2 linked regions of the Notamacropus eugenii genome follow. The protein of the gene in region 2 binds, or shares a complex with, the protein of the main gene of each other region. Links are inferred from orthologs where the notes say so. Each region holds a gene or a part of one and is shown on either strand. Other genes may lie near its edges.

Region 1 (10,530 bases), on a different chromosome or scaffold from region 2:
TAAATACTTTTTCCCCCGTCCAAATTCAGAAATATCCTGAAATCTATCTATGGACTCCCCCAAAAAGAGATCCCCAGTTTAAGATCTGATCTAGAGGGTATTCAGTTAAGAAAAATTTCAATATTGTGTTCAATTAAAATTTTTTGTAAAGGTAATTCTTTTATTTTCTAATGATTCCCTTTAAATTTTAAATTTCAGGAGTCCAGGAATTGTCCAAAGTCTATTTTTTTTTTGTGTCTCCAGTCACATTTAGTCCAAATGTGGCCAGATAATCCATAAGTATTTGTAGAATTGATTTAAACCTGCTCTGATGTGAGACTATTAAAAGCTAAGAAACTGCCTTGAACTTGAACGTACTAGTAGAATCCAGTCATGACTTTAGTTTGATATGAGAATTTTAAAAAGAAAACTTCTTTGTCCTCTTTTTCTCCCTAACTTATAGTTTGTGTGATTTGCATTGAACAATCAGTTCACAAAATCAACGTATTTTTGAACTGAAAATGTTCATAGAATTGAATGCTTATTAAATGTCCCTTTTATTTTATCTTTAAAATGATTTTAATTAAGGTCTTAGAAGGAGATTATCTTGAGATTTACTAATTTTTGGTTTATTACTAGATAAGTGGTTATTTTCCCTTACTCAGAATTTGTACCTGTTTAATTGTTGTTCCATCTCTAAACAGAATCAACGTAGAGACTAGAAAACCACATGAGAACCTGGACATAGTATTGTTTGTTTCACTACAGAGCAAAGCTCAATATAACATCTTTTAATCTGCCAACGTTTTGTCTTTTTCTCCTCTTTTCTACTGCTTTTAGTGTACCATATCATTCATGGATATTTCTTAAATTTCATTTGGGGGCAGAAGAGCTACTCTGGTCTTGAAGATACAATTTTAATTACCTAATCATTTCTTTATCAGTGCATAGGGTGCTAAACCAGGAGTTGGCCTGGGAAAATCTGTTACCTTGATCCTTTAAATTTTTTTTTTCTTTTTTAAAAAATTATTTATTTGTTTTCAATTTTCTTTTTCTTTTTTTTAAACATTGATTTAAGTTTTATTTGCCAATAAATTAAAGTATATTCATGTTTTATTCTTTTGGACACTTTTAAAATTCAAAGTCCCTAAGAAAAGGGCTCAGCTTCCCATTTAATCTTCAGATTCAGAACCTTCCTCATCTTGACTAATCTGGAAATAATGAAGTTTGTAAGTCTCCTTGTCAGATGCAACCACATGAAGCCAATCACGAAGATTGTACTTCTAAAGATATTTGTTGGTAAGATATTTTAAGTATCGTTTAGAAAATTGCTTCTCAGACACAATGGTGATCTTATTCTTGAAGCGTTCAATATGAACAACATTCCCTAGGTTCCCCGTTTTTCCATTGACTAACTTTCTCTTTCAAGAATTGCTCAAAATTTCCAGAATCAAAGATTCCATCTTTAACTGGATGAGTAAGGTCAAGGTTAAACTTCCAAGTTGATCTCTTAACCTTTTTATCTTTTGGCAGCGCCATCTTAGACATGCCCGTCATGAGAAATGCTTGTTTTCAATTTTCAACAATCACTTCCATAAGTTTTAAATTTTTTCCCCTCCCTCTCTTTTCTTTTCCCAAGATAACATGCAATCTTATATCAGCTCTACACATACATTCTTATTATGCACATTTTCACATTAGTCATGTTGCATAAAGAATGAAAATAAATGGGAGAAACCATGAGAAAAACATAACCTAACAAAAGAGAAAATAGTCTGCTTTATTTTACATTCTGACTCCATAGTTCTTTCTCTGGATATGGATGGCATTTTGCATCATGAGTCCTTTGGAAATGTTTTAGGTCCTTGCCTTGCTGTGGAGGACTAAGTCTATCAAAAACAGTCCTTTATCAAAAACAGTCCTCATACACTGTGGCTGTTACTGTGTATAATGTTCTCCTGGTTCTGCTCACTTTACTGAGCATCAGTTCACAAAAATCTATCCAGGTATTTCTGAAGTTTGTCCATTCATCATTTCTTTTTTAAAAATTTAATTAATTTATTTGTTTTCAGTTTTCAACAATCACTTCCATAAGTCTTAAATTTTCTCCCCTTCCCTCTCCCCCTCCTCCCTGAGACGGCATGCAGTCTTATATGGGTTCTACACAAACATTCTTATTAAACACTTTTCACATTAGTTATGTTGCACAGAAGAATTAAAACAAATGGGAGAAACCATGAAAAACAAAACATAACACAAGAGAAAAGAGGCTCCTTCATTCTGTATTCTGATTCCATAGTTTTTTCTCTGGCTGTGGATGGCATTTTTGCCTCAGGAGTCTTTTGAGGATGTTTTAGGTCCTTGCATTGTTGTTTAGGCTTAAGGGTTTAAGGGCTTAGTTTATCAGAAACAGTCTTGTCACACTGTGGCTGTTACTGTGTATAATGTTCTGGTTCTGCTCATTTCACTCAGCATCAGTTCATATAAGTCTTTCCAGGTTTTTCTGAAGCTCAACTGTTCTTCATTTTTTATAGTGCAATAGTATTCCATTATATTCATATACCACAACTAGTTCAGCCATTCCCCAATTGATGGGCATTCCCTCGATTTTCAGGCCACCACAAAAAGAGCTGCTATAAATATTTTTGTACATGTGGGACCTTTCCTCATTTTTATGATCTCGGGATACAGACCTAGAAGTGATATTGCTGGGTCAAATGGTATGTACATTTTTGTAGCCCTTTGGGCATAGTTCCAAATTGCTCTTCAGAGTGGTTGAATCAGTTCACAGCTCCACCAACAATGAATTCGTGTTCCAACTCTCCCACATCTTCTCCAACATTTATCATCTTCCTATTTTGTCATATTTAGCCAATCTGATAGGTGTGATGTGGTACCTCAGAGTTGTTTTGATTCTCATCTCTTTAATCAATAGGGATTTAGAGCACTTTTCATATGACTATAGATAGCTTTAACTTCTTCCTCTGAAAACTGCCTGTTCATATCCTTTGACCATTTATCAGTTAGGAAATCACTTGTATTCTTGTAATTTGACTCAGTTCTCTATATATTTTAGAATTAAGGCCTTTACCTCAGACACTAGTTGTAAAAATTCTTTCCTAGTTGTCTGCTTCCCTGCTAATTTTGGTTGCATTGGGTTTGCTTGTGCAAAAACTTTTCAATTTAATGTAATCACAATTATCCATTTTGCACTTCATAATGTTCTCAGTCTCTTGTCATAAATTTCTCCATTCTCCATAAATCTGACAAATCTACTATCCCTTGTGTTCCTAATTTGTTTATAGTATCAGCCTTTATACCTAGATCATGTACCCATTTGAACTTTATTCTTGTACACGGTGTCAGGCATTGGTCTATGCCCAGTTTCTGCCACACTATTTTCTAGTTTTTCCGGCAGTTTTTGTCAAACAGTGAATTCTTATCCCAGAAGCTGGTGTCCCTGGGTTTATGAAACAGTAGACTGTGATAGTTATTGACTACTGTGTTACGTGTGCCCACCTATTCCACTGATCTACCTTTCTATTTCTTAGCCAGTACTAAGTGGTTTTGATGATTGCTGCTTTATAATACAATTTAAGATCTGGTATGTCTAGGCCACCTTCCCTAGCATTTCTTCTCATTAATTCCCTTGATATTCTGGACCTTTTATTCTTCCAGATGGATTGATATTATTTTTTCTAGATCTATAAAATAGTTTTTTGGTAGTTTGATTGGTATGGCACTGAATAAGTAAATTAATTTAGGTAGAATTGTCATTTTTATTATATTAGCTCAGCTTACCCAGGAGCCACTGATGTTTTTCCGATTGTTTAGATCTGACTTTATTTGTGTGAAGTGTTTTGTAATTGTGTTCATACAGTCGCAGGGTTTGTTTTGGCTGGTAGACTCTCAAATAAAAATTAAAAAAAAAATTTTATTTTCAGTTCCAAATTTTCTCCTTCCCTGCTATCCCTCCCTCACCAATCGAGAAGGCAACAAATGTGATACCTATTATACATATGAAGTCATACAAAACATTTCTACTGTTAGTCATGTTGTGTGTGGAGGGGGAGCAAGAAAAATTAAGAGGAAAAATATGCTTTAATCTGCAATGAATCCATTAGTTCTGTCTCTGAAGGTGGATAGCAGTTTTCATCATGAGTCCTTTGGTATTGTCATAGATCATTGCACTGAGCAGAGTAGCTAACTTTTACACAATTGATTATTGCTTTTAATTAATATCGTTATTGTGTACAACGGTCTTCTGATTCTGCTTATTTCCTTTTGTATCAGTTGATATGTTTCCTCTTCATAAAATAGTGTCTGAGGCCAGATTTGAGATGAGTTGTCCTGACTCTATCCACTGGGCCACCCAGCTGCCCTAGGCATGTTCTGTCAAATTAGAAAAATTTCCAATCCAAATCTAGGACTAGATAATGCTTTTATCAGAAGACCTACCTCACTAAGGTCCCAGAATGATGTCTCCTAGGTGGTGGATTTCCTCTCTTTCTCCAGAAATTTAGATCATCCTTTAAGAACTGTGATCAGAATGAATAGAGGAAATACTCACAGAGAGATGGTCCTAGGTCCTAAAATAGGATACCTTCACATCTTAATGAATTACTCCTTCCAGGATTATTCTTATTTTGAAAAGAAACTCTTGAAATGTCTCAACCCAACCCTTCCCACTCTTCCGTTTGGAGGAAGGAAAGCAGGAATAGAAGGGAATAGTCTTGTTGCAGTCTGTTCTCATCAGATCTCTCTGGGGATAATGTTTAGTGTTGGAATCACAATTTAATGTCATCGATAAGCTGGAATGGATTGAGATGAGGGCAACCAGTATAGTCAAGGATCATGAATCAATGTCATTTCAGGAGAGGAGCCTCGGGAAAACTCGGGGGGCCCTAAGTACAAAGAAAGGCACCCCACGCACCCCCTGCAAAGGGCATAACCAGGAAGTAAATCTGGACTTGCCAGGAAAAACTCCTCATCGTTAGTGCTACCCAAAAGTGGAATGGGCCACCTTGCCTCTGACGGTCTTCACGCCGAGGCGCTGCCAGGTGCACGGGATGGACCAGATGGCCCTAACCCTCGACCTGCGTGACTCTGAAAGTAGTCTTCCTAACCCGTTCAAAGCTGCTCCTCGGAGGCTCACAGGTGGGGCCGGGGCCTTCTTAGAGAGAAGGAAGGAGCCCCGGCTGGAGACCTGGAGCTCAGAGGCGTTCAAGGTCATCCGGTCCAGGCCTTTCCTTTCATGAAACAAGGAAACTGAGTCCCAGGAAAGGCACGCATGCCTTCCCCAGGCCAGCAACCCCTGCATTTGAACCCGGGGCTCTCGGCCAGCCGAGCGAGCTGGGCTCTGGGCTCCGATCCCAGCACCGGGCGCCATCTCCAGACGTGGTGCCTTTTCCCCGCCAGTGTCCCGTGCCAGCCTTTGCGGATGGCGCTCGAGGCCGGCCTAGCGCCCGGTCTCCGAGCTCCCCTCCGCTCTGCCCCGTACAGCGCGTCTGTGTGTCTCGTTTGCACACGGCGTTAGGCTGAGCGCGCCGAGGGGCGAGGCTGCCTGCGCCGCCTTTGTACACCCTCTCCACTCCCAGCGCCACGCCTGGCGCGTAGCAGGCCCCGGGACGTGCCCGCAGACGGGCCCCCTCGGACGAGCCCCTGCGCTTCTCTGGGCCTCGGCTTCCCCACGTGTAACGGAAGGGAGAGGCGCGGAGCTAGGTCTACAGTCCCACAATGCGGATCTCATCACCCTGCCCCAACGGGCGGCGGGCCGTGGCCTCTCGGGTCAGGGCTCGATGCAGCCGTCCGGCCCGAGCCGCAGGCAAGGACCCGGGCCGCGGCGATCGGGCCCAGCGTGACCTCACCCGGGCCACCCCGCGGGGTCGGTTCGATACACTCCCCCCACACCAAGCCCCTCTTCCCGCTTCTCCCGCCGCCCCCTCTAACTCTTCGCTCCTTTTCTGGGCGGGGAACGGAAGTGACGTCAGGCGCATCGGAAGTCTCTGCCGCCGCGGTGTTGTGCTGTGGGGAAGAGAGGGACAGCTTTAGAAACCCGGGAGAGTGATTCTCGCCCTTCCGAGGCCGGTATCGCGCCGAAACCCCCGGAGAGAAGCAGCCGTCGCCATGTCTGACCAGGTAGGAAGCTTAGGGCAGCGGCTTGACGGGCAGTCGGACGCGGGGCCTGCGATCTCGCGGCCCCTCCGGGCCCGCGGCCGGACCGGGAATGGGGGCGGGGAGGAGAGGGCACAGGAGACAGGGGAGGGGGCGGCGGGCGCGGGGCCGGCGGCCAGCCAGGGTCGGCGTCTGGCACCCGAACGTCCGGGGCCCGGCCTCGCGAAGCCGGAGCCTCCTCGCCCCCTGCGAGAAGTCCGTGCACTTCCCCGTGACCCGGGGCGCCCGAGGCACGTCGGGTCGCCGGCCCCGCGGACCGGGTGTCAGCCAGCCCCGGAGCCGTGCCCATCGCCCTGGCTCAGGCCCCCGGGGAGCGTCCGGGCCCCGCAGAACCCAATCGCGCCTGACGGCGGCCGCGGGCGCCTAGGCCCCGGTTATATAACGGGAGAGGGAGCTCGCCGCGGCGGCCGGCAGGGCCTCGGGGGGTCGGGGGGGGCGGCCTGAGCGCGGATTCCCCTTCGGATGCCGGGGACGCGGCGGCGGCGGGGGCTGCCAGGTCGCCCGGAGCCCGGCAGCGCCGGCTGCAGCCTGGCGCCTGGGCCCGCGACAGGGCCGGGCCCCCGCGTCCGCGCCGAGCTCGGGCTTTTTCTCTCCGGATCCTTTTTCCGGTGGATGGGGTGGATGGGGTGGATGGGGGTGGCGGCGGCTCCCCTTGTTCCGTGAACTTTTCCTGTTTGTACTTCGGAGTGGTTCGGCGTTTCCGCGGACTGGGAGCCCCGGCTCGCCCCCCGCAGCCCTTTCCTAGGCATGGGCCTAGCGATGACTGCTGTTTGCGGCCGCCCCGGAGTAAAACAAAAGGACCGGACCCGAGGAGCTTCCCGCGGCTTTCCCCAGCTCCCACAGTCAGGATGCCCGGGCCAGTGTGTGTGGGCTCGGGGTCCGAGCGGAATCTTTGCGGGGGAGCCTTGCCACCCTTGCCTTGTGTTTGGGGCTGGTTTACAGTGCACTTGGTGAGGTCCGGAGTACTCGATTGATTAATGTCAAATGGAGAAATCGAGAGTCAGGTTGCTTGGATGAAAGAAAACCCTAAGATTTTTCTTTCATTTCAAAACACTGCGGCAGGGTTGGAATTTTAAATTTGGCAAACTTATCCACGTGTCTGTTTATTTGTCAGTTCTGTGCAGCATTGCTTGAGGGGAAATCCATCGGATTTTAGGAAATCGAGACATTTGGAAACATTTTTGTTATAAAAAGCAAGCCGCTATTTAGGTTAGCTCTGGGTGGTACTCAGCACTTTAATAGGCATCTGAATACCATTATAACGTATCTCATTAAATTGTTTATTCAGTTACTAGTTAGAGAATATATGTAAAATATGTTAGCAGTCTTTTGTTTGACATTTAAACATGGGAAATGTGTCAAATTTCTTATGTAGAAGTATTTTTGGGGGATGAATGAAGGAAGCAGACAAGCATTTATTAAGCACCTGCTATGTGCCAGGGGATTTACAAGATTTATGATACTCACAACAACCCTGGGAGGTAAATGCCGTCGTTATCTCTCATTTTACCGTGGAGGAAACTGAACTAAGGCAGACAGGTTAAGTCTCTTGGCCAGGATTACCGAGCTGATAAAAAGTCCTAAGGCCAGTTTCAGTTCAGGTTTTCTGGTTCTAGGTGCAGTGCTTTGTGTGCTGCGACACCTTGCAGCCTCAGAATAGAAAAGAATTGAGAAAATAAAAATTACCGTATCTTATCCAGAATAAAGTAGGCAAGTGTTATGAAATATAGGTAATTCCTTAGAAGCTAGGAGGTAAATTAGTAGTTTGAGATTAGAAATTTGAATTGTCTTCATCAGATAACATTTATTAAAAGACGAAAGATCTGATTTTAAAAAAGTTGAAATACCCTCAGGATTTAAAATCAAGAGCAGGAGCCCTAAAGTTTTCTAGTACAGTACCATTCAGTTTGTAGAATATCGTGCACAGTATCTGTTCAGAAATTCTACATTAAGTCCTGTTGGAAAGGCATATTTTTTAGGAACCTTTCAGTTATTATCAGTCATAATAGGAAAACTAAGGAATAGTTCTTACATTTCTACCTTTAAAATCAGAAAAGTTAAACTTTTTTTTAGTAAATAGTATTTTATTTTTTCCAAGTCCGTGTAAAGATAGTATTCAACATTCATTTTTATAAAGTTTTGAGTTCCAAATTTTTCTCCCTCCCTCTTTCTTTTCCTTTACCCCCTCCCCAAGACTGCAAGCAATCTGATATAGGTTATACATGTGCAGTCATGGCAACATTTCCATATTAGTCATGTTGTGAAAGAAGAAACAGAACAAAAAGGAAAAGCCACAAAAAACAGCAAAGTGAAAATGTGCTTCATTCTGCATTTAGACTCCATATTTCTTTCTCTGAATGTGGGTAGCATTTTCTGTCATGAGTCTTTTGGAATGTCTTGGATCTATTTTATGTTACTGAGAAGAGCTAAGTCAATCATAGTTGATCATCACATGGTATTACTGTTACTGTGTACAATGTCCTGGTTCTGATCACTTCACTCAGCATCAATTCATGTAAGATTTTCCAGGTTTTTCTGAAATCTGCCTGCTCATCATTTCTTGTAACACAATAGTATTCCATTATATTCACATACCACAACTCATTCAGCCATTGCCCAGTGGATGGGCATCCCCTCAATTTCCAATTCTTTGCCACCACAAAAAGAGCTGCTATAAATATTTTTGTGCTTGTTGGACCTTTCCCCCTTTTTATGATCTCTTTGGGCTGCAGACCTGGTGGTGGTGTATTGCTGGATCTACGGGTATGCACAGTTTGATTGCCCTCCAGAATTGGATCAGTTCACTACTCTACCAACAAATTTTTCCCACATCTTCTCCAGCATTTATCATTTTCCTTTTCTCTTGTATTAGCCAGTCTGATAGGTGTGACATGGTACCTCAGAATTGTTTTAATTTACATTTCTGTAATCAGTAGTGATTTGGAGCATTTATTCATATGACTATAGAGAAAAATTAAATTGTTAAAAAAGTTTATTGGGGTAGCTGTCATCACAGAGAGCAAATTACTTGCTTTTGGAGATAAAGTGAAACTCCTTTATATTGGAGATGTTAAGGAAAGCGACTGACACCCATATAGTGTGAATTTAGGAATCTCCAAATGATCACTGGATAATCACTGGGGAAAAAATGCTTTCTGGGTCACTGCATGGAAGAACCATTGTCTGCAATGACTGTAATGACCTTGATTTTTATGCTGTTTTAATTGTATTTTTCCATAAACCATCTGATCCTCCCCAACCTCAGTGTAGGATCATAAACTTGGAACTATGTGAGTACTTAAAGCTTCTCTGTTCTAGCCCCTACCTAATTTTTCAGATGAGGCACTTGAAGTCCAGAGAGGTTCAAAGACTTGCCCAAAGGTCCCAAAGTAGCAAACTGGGATCAGAACAAGTTATCTCCCTCCAGAGCCAGTCTCTTTCCATTATAACATTATACCTCTTAAAAGTCGACTGAAGTCCTCTATTAAAGCAGAACAACACAAAAAGATCTAGAAGTTGTTACATGGAAATGGAATTTTATTTCTTCATCTGTTAAAGGAGGGCTTTTGGACTTTGTCATTTCTAAGGTTCTTTTTCTTTTTTTCAAAAATTATTTTATTTGTTTTCTACAATCACTTCCATATATCTTAGATTTTTCCCCCTCGTTCCCCCTCCTTCCCCGAGACGGCCTGCAATCTTATATGGATTCTACACATACATTCTTATTAAGTACATTTTCACCTTAGTCATATTGCATAGAAGAATTAAAATGAATGGGAGAAACCATAAAACAAAACAGAGCAAAACATAATGCAAGAGAAAATGGTCTGCTTCATTCTGTGATCCAGTTCCATAGTTCTTTCCCTGGATGTGGAAGGCATTTTGCCTCAAGAGTCCATTGGGAATTTTTTAGATCCTTGCATTGCTGTGAAGGGCTAAGTCTACCAGAAAAATTCCTCTTACACTGTGGTTGTTGCTGTGTACAAAGTTCTCCTGGTTCTGCCCCTTTCACTCAGCATCAGTAAGGTTTTTCAATTGTGATGCTTTCTGAACATCCTTGGAAAGATTGAGGCAAGAGTGATTTCAGTACATCACACCCTTCATCCTAAGAGATGCAGACCACTAATTTTCTTTTCCTGTTTGATTACAAAGACGTCCAACATCAACTGTTTTGTTTCATTATTGCTGATGTATTGTTAACAGAGTGACATTGCAACAAAAGGATGTCTGGTGGAATTTGTTATACCAGAATTTTATCTGTGGATGTTACTTTTGGGGTGGAGTATCATTTGATTTGAATCTATTTTTAAGGATTTTCCTTATGTGTCATTAATGTATCTTCCAAAATGAAATTTCTTTCCTCCACAGAAGATTCAG
Region 2 (10,215 bases):
AGAAATGATGAACAGGCAGACTTCAGAAGATTCTGGAAAGACCTATATGAACTGATGCTGAGTGAAGTGAGCAGAACCAGGAAAACATTGTTCACAGAAACAGCTACAGTGTGTGATGACTGATTATGATAGACTTCTCAGAAATGCAAGGACCTAAAACAATTCCAAAGGACTCACGATGGAAAATGCCAACCACATCCAGAGAAAGAACTATGATGTTAGAACGCAGAGGGAAGCAGACTATTTTCTTTTTTATTTTAGTTTATTTTTTTCTCTCACAATTTCTCCCATTCATTATAATTCTTCTATGCAACATGACTAATGTGAAAATGTGTTTAATAGGAATGTATGTATAGACCCCCTATCAGATTGTATGCCATCTTGGGGAGGTAGGAGGAGAAAATTTAAAACTTATAGAAGTGAATGTTGAAAACCGAAAATAATTTGAAAACTGTAAAAAAAAAAAAAGTCACTTTGATAGCTGTGTGTTAGATGGATTGGAGTGGGGAGAGGTTTAAGGTAGGGAGAACAATTAGGTGGTTATTGAAACAGCCAGATGAAAAGTCACAAAGTTATACTCAGGAAAGGTATAGAGATAGAAATGGCAAGATTTGGCAACTAAATGAATGTCAGTGACAGGAAGGAGTGAATGATGACCCCAAGTTTGTAAGCCTGGGGACTGCAAGGAAGGTAATGTCCTCAGCATACAAAGGGAAGGTGAAGAGTTCTGTTTTGGATGGGTTGAGTCTAAGGGTCATCTGATTAGAGATGTCCAAAAGGCAACTAGTGATGTAGGATTGGAACCAATAGAGCTTAGGCAAAAAGCTGTCCTGGAGGAGAGGTAGCAGGTATTCAGCAAGTCAGAATATGGCCATCACCTCAGCCATCAAATTCCCTTGGATCCCAGTGGAAACAGCCCAGAACCCATAGTCCATGAGTCCTAGGAACAGTGGCCCTTGACCACTTTTCTTGCTTCCAGCTAAGCTGAACATCTCAACCACTGCTGAAATACAATAGCCTCTAAAGACTCAAAAAAGAAAGTTCTTGTCACCAAGTCCAAAGCCCTGGCCAATGGTTCAATTTCAGAAACAGTTATGATTTTATCAACAGAAAGGACATCAAAGGATATTACATTACCGCCCGCTTCACTTCTGCACTTCAAGGACACCTGTGCCTTTCTACTTGATTTCAATCTGAAACTTCTTTTAGAGAAAAGATTATACCCCCAGAACTTTTTAGAGTGTTTTGCTGAAGCAGGCATAGTCATTCATTCAAATAGTTGAAGGACAACTATGGGGAAGAGAGGTTGGACTTGTTCTACTTGCCTCTGGATGGTTGACCTAGAAGCCAAGAGCAGAAGTTATAGAGGCAGGTCTTGACTCAGCATAAGAATTAATTTCCCAAACAGTCTGAGCTATCTAAAAGTGGGTTGCCTTGAGGCGATGGAGGTGGGACTAATTAGTTTCTTGTTTCTGTAGGTGTTTGGAGGGTGAATGACTACTTCCTTGGGATGTTATAATTTGGATTCATGGGCCAGATACTGGTTGCATTACTGTAGATGGCCTATGTGGTCCCTTTCAACTTGAAATATTGTTCCAGGATTCTGGGAAATAGCTATAGTACACAAGAGACCATGTCCTATATTGACTTTGCATGTATTTTGTAATTCACTTATCTGTGTACATAGTATTCACTTTCCCACAAGAGAACTCAAGTTTCTCCAAGGCAGGACAGTTTTGTTTCCTGTTTTTGTTTCCCCAGCATCCTGTCTATCACAAAGTGAGTGCTGAATAAGTGCTTGTGGAATGAAGACAGACTTATTTTTAAGGTATGAACAGGGAAGGATCACTTGTGAAACCACGAGGAAGGTGGAAGCAACAAGGTGGTGCAGTGGATAGAGCACTAGGCCTGGAGTCAGGAAGATTGGAGTTTAAATGCAGCCTCAGAGAAGTGCTGGATGTATGCCACTGGCAAGTCATATAACCTCTATTTGCCTCAGTTTCCTCATCTGTAAAATGGAAATAATAATAGCACCTACCTCCCAGGGTTGTTGTGAGTCTCAAATGAGATACTAAAAGTGCTTACCACAGGAGCTATATAAAAGCCAGCCATTATTATAAGTCACTTATTCTTGCTAAGTAAGAGATGTATAAGGGCAGAGGAGTAGCCCAGATTCAAAGTGAACTCATCAAATATTTATTAAGCCATCCACACAACATGCTGGGAACACAAAGACATAGGTCAATCTGACATGGCCCATACTTAGGACTCACCCTCTCAAATCCCACTCAGACTAGTAGGCTGGGTCCCTACATCTCCTCTCAAGTTTTAGGAGGCAATGCTGAGGGGCCAGGAATCACTTTCTAGTCTTATTGTCATGCTTCTACCTGGGCTGTTCAGGGAGGACTAGCACTTCTGGTGGGAGGGCTTACCAAATCCATTTCAGGGCTGCTCAACCTACCTGTAGCTCCAACATGGTGCCACATGTGGAGTGGCCACACCCCAGTAAGACTCTCTTAGCAGATGGGCTAAATTAGGTTGAGAGTAACCAACAGGCCCCAAACCCATTGATGGGTTAGGAGGATTTCCACCCAAAGCATGTGAAGACTTACTCAAGTGGAATGGGCAGATGAGAACAATTTGTTCCAACAACCGTGAAGGTAGATGAAGCAGGCATTGTAGAGCCCTTAGAGCTTGGTAAGACAATGAATACACCAAGGTCCCCTACTGCATCCCAGGTCATTACCAGCTGTCCTGACTTTTGTCCTCCCACAGGACTTCAATGACTCTGGAAGAAGATGGTGAGGCTGGGGACTTTGTTGAATGTTGCCTCACTTAAATTCAGTTCATTCATAAGTCAAGATATCACTTGTGATGTCATTAATCCTCTTCCAAAATGAAGGACAAACAAAACATCACTGATTGTTGATTTCATTAGCTTGTAGAAATAGATGGTTTACTAAGATGGTATTAGAACAGTTACTATAAAACACCCCATGTCACCTCACACCAGAGGTATACTCCCACACAGTAAATCCAGAGTCCAGAGGAAAGTGGACTTAACCTTAGAGAATACATGTGGCAATGAGTTAACTCACAGCTCTTGAAGATCAGAAGACCTTTTCTCCCATTTGTAGAGTCCTCTGAAGGAGGAGCAGTTTTCTGCTGGGCTCCTCATAAAGTCAAGAAACTCTTTTCCTAAAGTCTAGTTTGTCCTCAATTCCCGAAGAAAATGCTAACAGCAACTGTGATACCAGGAACACTGGTAGAATACAAGAGAATTTTATATCCTCCAACCCTCTGAAGTTCAAAAAGAGATGGAAAGAGAAAGAGGCCTTTCTCTTCCTAGACAAGTAATTCCCTCCTAGGGACTTAGCTGGAACTCCTCGGACCCCCGAGCTGGCCTGTTACTCAAATCCCAGCTGAAATTCCAACTGACTTGTTATTTTATACAGACCCACTTGGCTCTTTAACCAATCCCAAATACTTTCTGTTCCTCATCATTTGATCTCAGTCAATGACTTCCACTCCTTCCAAACCGTTTAAGCATTTTGTGCACCTACTTTAACAGTTCTGGTTGATTGACTCAATAGAAGTGTTCTAAGAGAGGTAAGGTAATTCCTTAAAGTGGGATGGGGTGACTGATGCAAACATTTAACATCCCAATGCCTTGTGATGGTAGAGTTAGGATCTAGAAGGGACCAAGGCTCTGAGAACTCATAAAGTCTCCAAGAAAAAGCCAAAGTCCTAAGGATTTTCCCTAGCCTCATTACTGGGAATAGAAAGAGCCCTCTCTTTCTAAAAGAGCTGTATCTTAAGCCTTTAAGGTAAAAGGAGAGCCAGCTGTGCTAATTCTTTAAGAGGTGCATCTTAGCACCTCTAGGCACCAGCTGCAGCCAAAAGCTGAAATCAATCAGTAACTAGGCATATACTAAGAACTATTTAGAGCCTATATAAACCATAAACTCATTTCCAATGAACCCAGTTGTGGTAGAAGTTACAAAATAATCAGAAAAGTCAAGTGGTAGGAATGCCTAACAGCAGAGACTACACATCATGCCCAGAAAACCCACCAAAGCCTATACACTTGGCAGAGACCAAATGCCTCAGGATGTCAGTTGAAAGGAGGCCCAGCAAGAGCAGTGCTATAACAGTACCAGAGAACATCATTATTAGGTCAAAACTGTAAGTCTGTCCTGTGTGTCCACTGGCCTACATGTCTACCCTTCCCAATATCTATCTGTGGATGTGTCTGCATTAGATTTATGGGGGAAATGTTTTATTACTTTTCTTTCCATGCAATTTCATTAAATGCCTTTGCTTTGAATTAGTTGTATGACTGATAAGTAAACACATCATCGAGGGCATGTGAGTTTTGATCTCTGCATCTGAAGCGATACAGAGCACCTTGGAGGTGGGATACCATGTTTGGCAGGACCTTCTTAAGAGTTGAGAGGCATTGCCAGGTGATACACAGAGGCAGAAAATGAAACCATTCCTGACCTCAATTAGTGTACAATCTACTTGAGAGGAAGCTGTTGTTATCCAGTTGTGCAAGCCTCTCTGTGACTCCACTGGGAGTTTTCTTGGCAAAAAAATTGCAGTGGTTTGCCATTTCCTTCTCCCACTCATTTGACAGGTGAGGAAACTGCAGTACACAAGGTTAAGTGGTTTGTCTACGGCCACATGGCTACTCAGTGTCCAAGGCCAGATCTGAACTCAGCAAGAAGAGTCTTCCTAGCTCAAGGACCAGCAGTCTATGCACTATGCCACCTAGCTGCCTTAGGGAAGGAGGCTTTGTGTCCACAAATAAGATACAAAATAAAACAGCACAAGAGCAAAGGAATAACTCCAGTTGAACTAATCTACGAAAATTTGGGGTGGATCAGAAAAGGCTTCAAGGAAGAGGTGGCCCCTGGGCTGAAGGAATGGATTTTGCCAAATGAAGAAATAAAATATATCCCAGTTATAGAGGAACAGCCCACGCTCATCCACAGCTGAAATTGCATCATGGACAGTGGTGTGTTTTATTGTATAGGCAACAGGGAGCCACCCATGTGTAAAATTACCTCTAAGGTTCTTTCCATTCTAAAGGTATATCACTTCCAAATTGGGGCATCAGAGGAAGACTTCTTGGAGAATGCATGAGAGCTGGGTCTGGGAGGTGGCACGAGAAAGGTATTGCTAAGGTCTCTTCCGATCTCTTGGGACAGACTTAAGCAGCTTCTCCTAGATGCTGATGGACGTCACCTTTTCGGCCCCCTCCATGGAACGTCCCCAGCTCAGCCTTTCTAATCTAGCAAACACAGAGACCCATGGGTAAGGCCGGAGATGACCTTGGGAATGGGGGGGTCTGAATTCGAATGCCTCAATGACCTTGGCCCAGCGCCCGGCCTCTCTGGGCCCGGGGGCCCCGCCGTCCAGGAGAAGGGATGCCTTCCAAGCTCCCTGGCAGCTTCCAGGGCTACGAGTCTACATTCGGAGGACCCCGGGGCGGGTAGTGGGAGGAGGCCATGCCCGAGCCTCGCCGGAAGCTCGGCCTGGTTGGGCCCGGGCCAAGCCGGGGCTCTCGAAGTCTCCCCCCGCCCCCGCCTGCTCTGGACCCAAGCGAAGGAAAGTCTACACTACATACGGGAGGGAGGGCCTCGAGTTAGGCCGAAGGAGGGAGGCCTTTCGAGGATCGCCCACTAAATTCCTCCCCCGCCCTGGCTCCGGGTCCTTCGCTCTCGCCCCTCCCCCACACTGTAGCCTGCCCCTCCCCCATTCCTCTCTGGCCCCCGCTGTCACTTAGGGACCGTCTACAATTCTACTTCCGTCTATCCGGCAGGATCCGGAGTTTTGTACCGATCCCTCTCATTGGTTGAATATGAGGTAAGCCCCGCCCATTTCTCAGAAGTGACCAATCCGGAAGGGTTTCAGAGGTCTCTGTGCTTGTGGGGATCATCTGGACACTGAGATGCTCGGGTTGATCTGTAGGCCTCAGTGGATTTTTCCCCAAGATTCTTGGTTCTATCTGACTAGGGGACCTCGGGGATTGGAAGCCTTGGGGTCTCCCTCCGAGCATCCGAAGAGCCATTGGGATTTCCTGCGTCCCCTTTTCTGTATTCCTTCAACGCGTATCTTCAGATGAACGAACTCATTCCGAAAGGTAGTTTGCAGATGATCCCTAGTATTAGGGTCGCGGCTCCTTTAAGTGTACAGGTAGCTAAGTCCCTGCCTGTGGAAGAAATTACTCCTCGGGGGTCCCTACGCCCGAAGTTCGTACCCCGTCGTGCTCCCTGGGGAGGCGAACCCGCCTAGCCAGTGGGGCCGGAGGGACTTAGAAGGCACGGGCGAGAAGGGGTGGGGGAAGGGGAGCCGCAGCAGCGGCGGGGGTGGAGGCGGCGGCAGCGCGCGGGCGCAGGCGGGCGGCGGGGCAGCCCGCGGCTTCCTCCCCCTCCCCCCGCCCCGCCCCGCGCCGCGCCGCGCCGGGGTCCTGCCGTCTTGGGTCCGGCTGCGCGCGGAGCGGGCTCCGGAGGGAAAGTCCCGAGACAAAGGGAAACGCCGCCGTAGCCACCGACCATCCGGGCACCTTCCGCCTCTATCCGGGACACTTGCCGGGGGCCGCGGCCGTGCTGAGGTGAGGCTAGCCCCTCTGGGCCGGGCCGGGCAGAGCTGGGCCCGGCGGCAGCGGCAGTAGCAGCGCCGCTCTCCTCCTCCCTCCTGGCGAGGCCCGGCCCGGCCCCGCTCCCTCCTCTTCTCCCGAGGCTGCAGCCATCGGGCCGTACCCGGTCTGGGAAATGGAGCGAGGCTTCCGGGCCCGGAGACCGGCTGGGAGCTGGGACGCTTCCCTCCCTGGGGACTGGGCCGGGCCGCTCCGGCGAATCTGTCCTCCCCGAGGAGGCTAGGGTGGGGGTGGGGGGGCAGTCTGGCCTCGGCCGCCAGCTGCTGTCCTCCATCCCTCCCTCCTGGGACTCTCTGAGGCCCCCGACGGGCCACTCAAAGTAGGTAGACGTGGAGGAGGAGTCATCCAAGCCGAGAGGTCTCGGACAGAAGAGACCCAAGAGCTCGTCTTGTTCGAGGCTCCTCTTCTGTAGAGAGAAACTGAGGCTTAGGGAGGCGAAAGGGACTGGCCCAAGGTCACACGTCGAGATGGAGTCGCCTCCCTCCTTCGGCTGCCTGATTGTTCGCATTAAGTCCTGTTAGTAGAGAGATGGAGGGATTTGGGGGAGCTGAGAAAGGGGTACGTAAAAATAGCGCAGAGAGCTGTCCTGGGAATGTGGTGGCTTTCTTAAAAACAGTATTCCAAGGCTGCTCACATGTTCCACCCTGTCTCTCCAAACCCCCCTCCCCCATGGCATCTTTTCCCAACAATTTTGAATGATCAGACTTCTAGGTTGTGTGCACTGCTGAGGAACTTAAAGGCCCCTGGAATTGAGTTTTTCTCTAAGTACGGACCCAGTTATCCGGTGTTACGGTAGTAGCACAGCAACCAAAATAATACCCACGTGAAACTTCAGTGAGAGGCTGATGGGATGAGTGAATTATAGTCCAAAATTCCCTGTGATCTTACTGAAGTAACTTTAAAAATGATCTAGAGGTAGAGAAAAACTCAATTGGGTTATTTAGCTTCTCAGTGATAGTAGGGTCATTTTGACTGCTCCCACTTTTGCCCCACCTCCGAAAAAAAAAAGTAACAATCCATCAGGTCTTTGAAAGGGACACACAGCCAAAATGGGATTGGTTGGATTAAGAGAACGTGGGATACTCATTTTTTTTTATTTTTTTTCCCCGTATTCTTGTAATCTCTGGGCTTGATTTTATTGTTAACAGCTCTTGGGTTTGCTAGATAAGACTTGCCTGATAGAGAGCCGAAATTGACAGAAGTTAGTAAGAGGGAAAACTGGATTGCCCTTTCTTTTATCCTTTCATAGTAGAATCTATATACATCTTCTTACCCCCTACATACTCATGCTTTTTTGAAATCTTCTCTACCTTTATTCTTGAATTCTCTTCACTTTTTAAAGAAAAATATCCATTCCCTCTTGCATTTTTGGCAGTGTTTCAGAGATGCCTTGTCCCTTTAGGAAGAGTGAAAGGACAGTCCAATTTTCAGTTGTGAGAGGGGAAGACAAAGTTGGCAAGAACACAAAATGTACCATAAGTCCAACAAAAAAGACTTTTTTACAATTATTTCTTTGGTTGTTAGGCCCAGTTAGCAATCTTAAACATACAGAAAATTTGAACAGACAAAGAAATGACTGTCAGTCATTTTTTGGTTTTAGTGGCTTAAAATCAAAGCAACATTGCTAATACCAAAGGTTTTCCTGGAGTGTACTAATTCCAGATGATGGGACGCATTAAAATTTTTTTTAATGTTTTTGTTTTTCACTGTCACAGTTAATAGTGTTGTTATTATGGGGATGATTAGAATAAAGTTGCATTTAAAATAAAGTGAAATTAGAAATTCAGCTCCATAATTTAAACTTTTTTTTTAAACTTAAACTTTTTCTAGACTTAAAAGGAATGGTGGTTTAAAAACATCTTAAATGTCTCATTAATAGGGAAAATGCTGTTAGAATCTGATGTCAAGAGGGACTTTTCTAGGATTTAGATAAATTTTGGATTCATTACAAATTTATTGTGGTTCCATTACAAAAATAGATCACATCCCAGAGTCTTGAATGGTTAGGAGATAGATACTTTAGAGTGGTTTCAGTTTCTAGTTCTGAATTGTTAAACAGATGTGCCAGAACTTTGTTTCACTAAGTGATGGATCTCTTAGTTTCTGTTATGTACCTGAGGGTTATAGAAGGTGTAATGGGAATATGAAGCATTTTAAGTGTGATTCAGTCTATCATGTAAGGATCAAGCCATTATCAAAGGGATTGTAAGGAAGAAATAAAATTGCAGTATTTCAGTTTAACTCTGTGCTTAAGAGCATTTTTACCTTGTCTCTGAACACTTGATAAAGTTATTGCTATTTCTTCATGACTTAATTTTTCTGCTTTTAAACTAGTAGGAACACTTGATTATTCCATTAAGTGCTTAGTTTCTGAAGTTAGACCAATTTTAAAGTGGGATCTGGTTATGTATACTGTAAGGTAACATCTAACTTTCCCCCTGATTAATTTTTCTGCTTTTAAACTAGTAGGAACACTTGATTATTCCATTAAGTGCTTAGTTTCTGAAGTTAGACCAATTTTAAAGTGGGATCTGGTTATGTATACTGTAAGGTAACATCTAACTTTCCCCCTGATAAACAGAGAATCCTAGAATTGGAAGGGACTTTGCAGTTTTTACAGGTGTACATTTAAGCTCTCTTTAATAGCATTTCTAAAAAAGTAGGAAGCATTTCTGTCTAGAACCTAACTAGATACACTAAAGGAGAACAGGTAATTTAGGCTAAGACTAAGGATTGAAATTGACCTTGAGATTACTTTGTCCCAACAACCCTTTGCCTTCATTCAAGCTATAAATAATTTCAGGAAGAAAAGACATTATATAATTAGATTTTTAAAAATATAGGTAGTTAGGCTTGTGTAATGGAATAAAAAAGTAAGCATTTCTTGCCCTATACACCTGTGGAATCAGAGGCAATTGTAGCTCTTCCATTCTCCTACCTCTCATATAAAAGAATAGACTATGGAGCAGGATGGGCCTTTGGAAATCATCTGATCCAATGCTCTCATTTTACAGATAGCAAAATTGAGACCCTGACTGGTTGAGCGACTGGCTCAAAGTCCTTCACATAGTAAGTTGCAAAGTCTGGACTCAGCTCAGAACCTTTGATTCCAAAAATCATTATTTTTGCCATTTTCCTTTTCTTCATAATTATATTTTATGCTTGCTTGTAAGCATTGCTTATTCCTTTTGATAGTACTCAAAGCTATAAAGGTTTGACCTCTACACAACTAGATAGAACAGTGGTCTAAGAATCAAAAGATCTGTTTTGATTTAAAGCTCTTGCTGGATGACCTTGAACATCACATCACTTCAATCTTTCTATATTTTGTTTCTTTGAACTGACTGTGTTGGGTTTTTTTTTTCCTCCCTCATCCCCTAGGGATGTTATAAGGATCAGATGAATTTTTCTAAGTTTATTGAGCACGCTGAGCTCCTGCAGCACTTTATAGATTAAGGTGGTTGAGGATTATTATTAAAACAGATGTAATCGAGTTTGAGGTTTTGTTTTATTTTTAAGTGAAAAACCTCATTCATGGCTTTTCAGAACTA

The links.
Region 1: the proteins of UBE2I (region 2) and SUMO1 are in contact, whole or in part, in a cryo-EM structure (PDB 9B62), measured with the Homo sapiens proteins. The link is inferred for Notamacropus eugenii from reciprocal best matches to the Homo sapiens genes UBE2I and SUMO1. Residues at the interface, in NP_003336.1 of Homo sapiens: Asp19, Lys48, Asn85, Cys93, Leu94, Ser95, Arg104, Lys110, Gln111, Leu114, Gly115, Glu118, Leu119, Glu122, Asn124, Asp127, Pro128, Ala129; in NP_001005781.1 of Homo sapiens: Gln29, Asp30, Ser31, Gln55, Gly56, Val57, Arg63, Tyr91, Gln92, Glu93, Thr95, Gly96, Gly97.

What each region holds. Positions count from the first base shown.
Region 1 is NC_092877.1:298,544,594-298,555,123, reverse strand, and holds the start of SUMO1 (small ubiquitin-related modifier 1), read left to right. Parts: upstream 1-5,761; 5' UTR 5,762-6,105; coding exon 6,106-6,117; intron 6,118-10,530. UniProt on the Homo sapiens protein: Ubiquitin-like protein that can be covalently attached to proteins as a monomer or a lysine-linked polymer.
Region 2 is NC_092872.1:49,690,688-49,700,902, reverse strand, and holds the start of UBE2I (SUMO-conjugating enzyme UBC9), read left to right. Parts: upstream 1-5,918; 5' UTR 5,919-6,148; intron 6,149-6,411; exon of another isoform or gene 6,412-6,619; intron 6,620-9,678; exon of another isoform or gene 9,679-9,733; intron 9,734-10,215. UniProt on the Homo sapiens protein: Accepts the ubiquitin-like proteins SUMO1, SUMO2, SUMO3, SUMO4 and SUMO1P1/SUMO5 from the UBLE1A-UBLE1B E1 complex and catalyzes their covalent attachment to other proteins with the help of an E3 ligase such as RANBP2, CBX4 and ZNF451.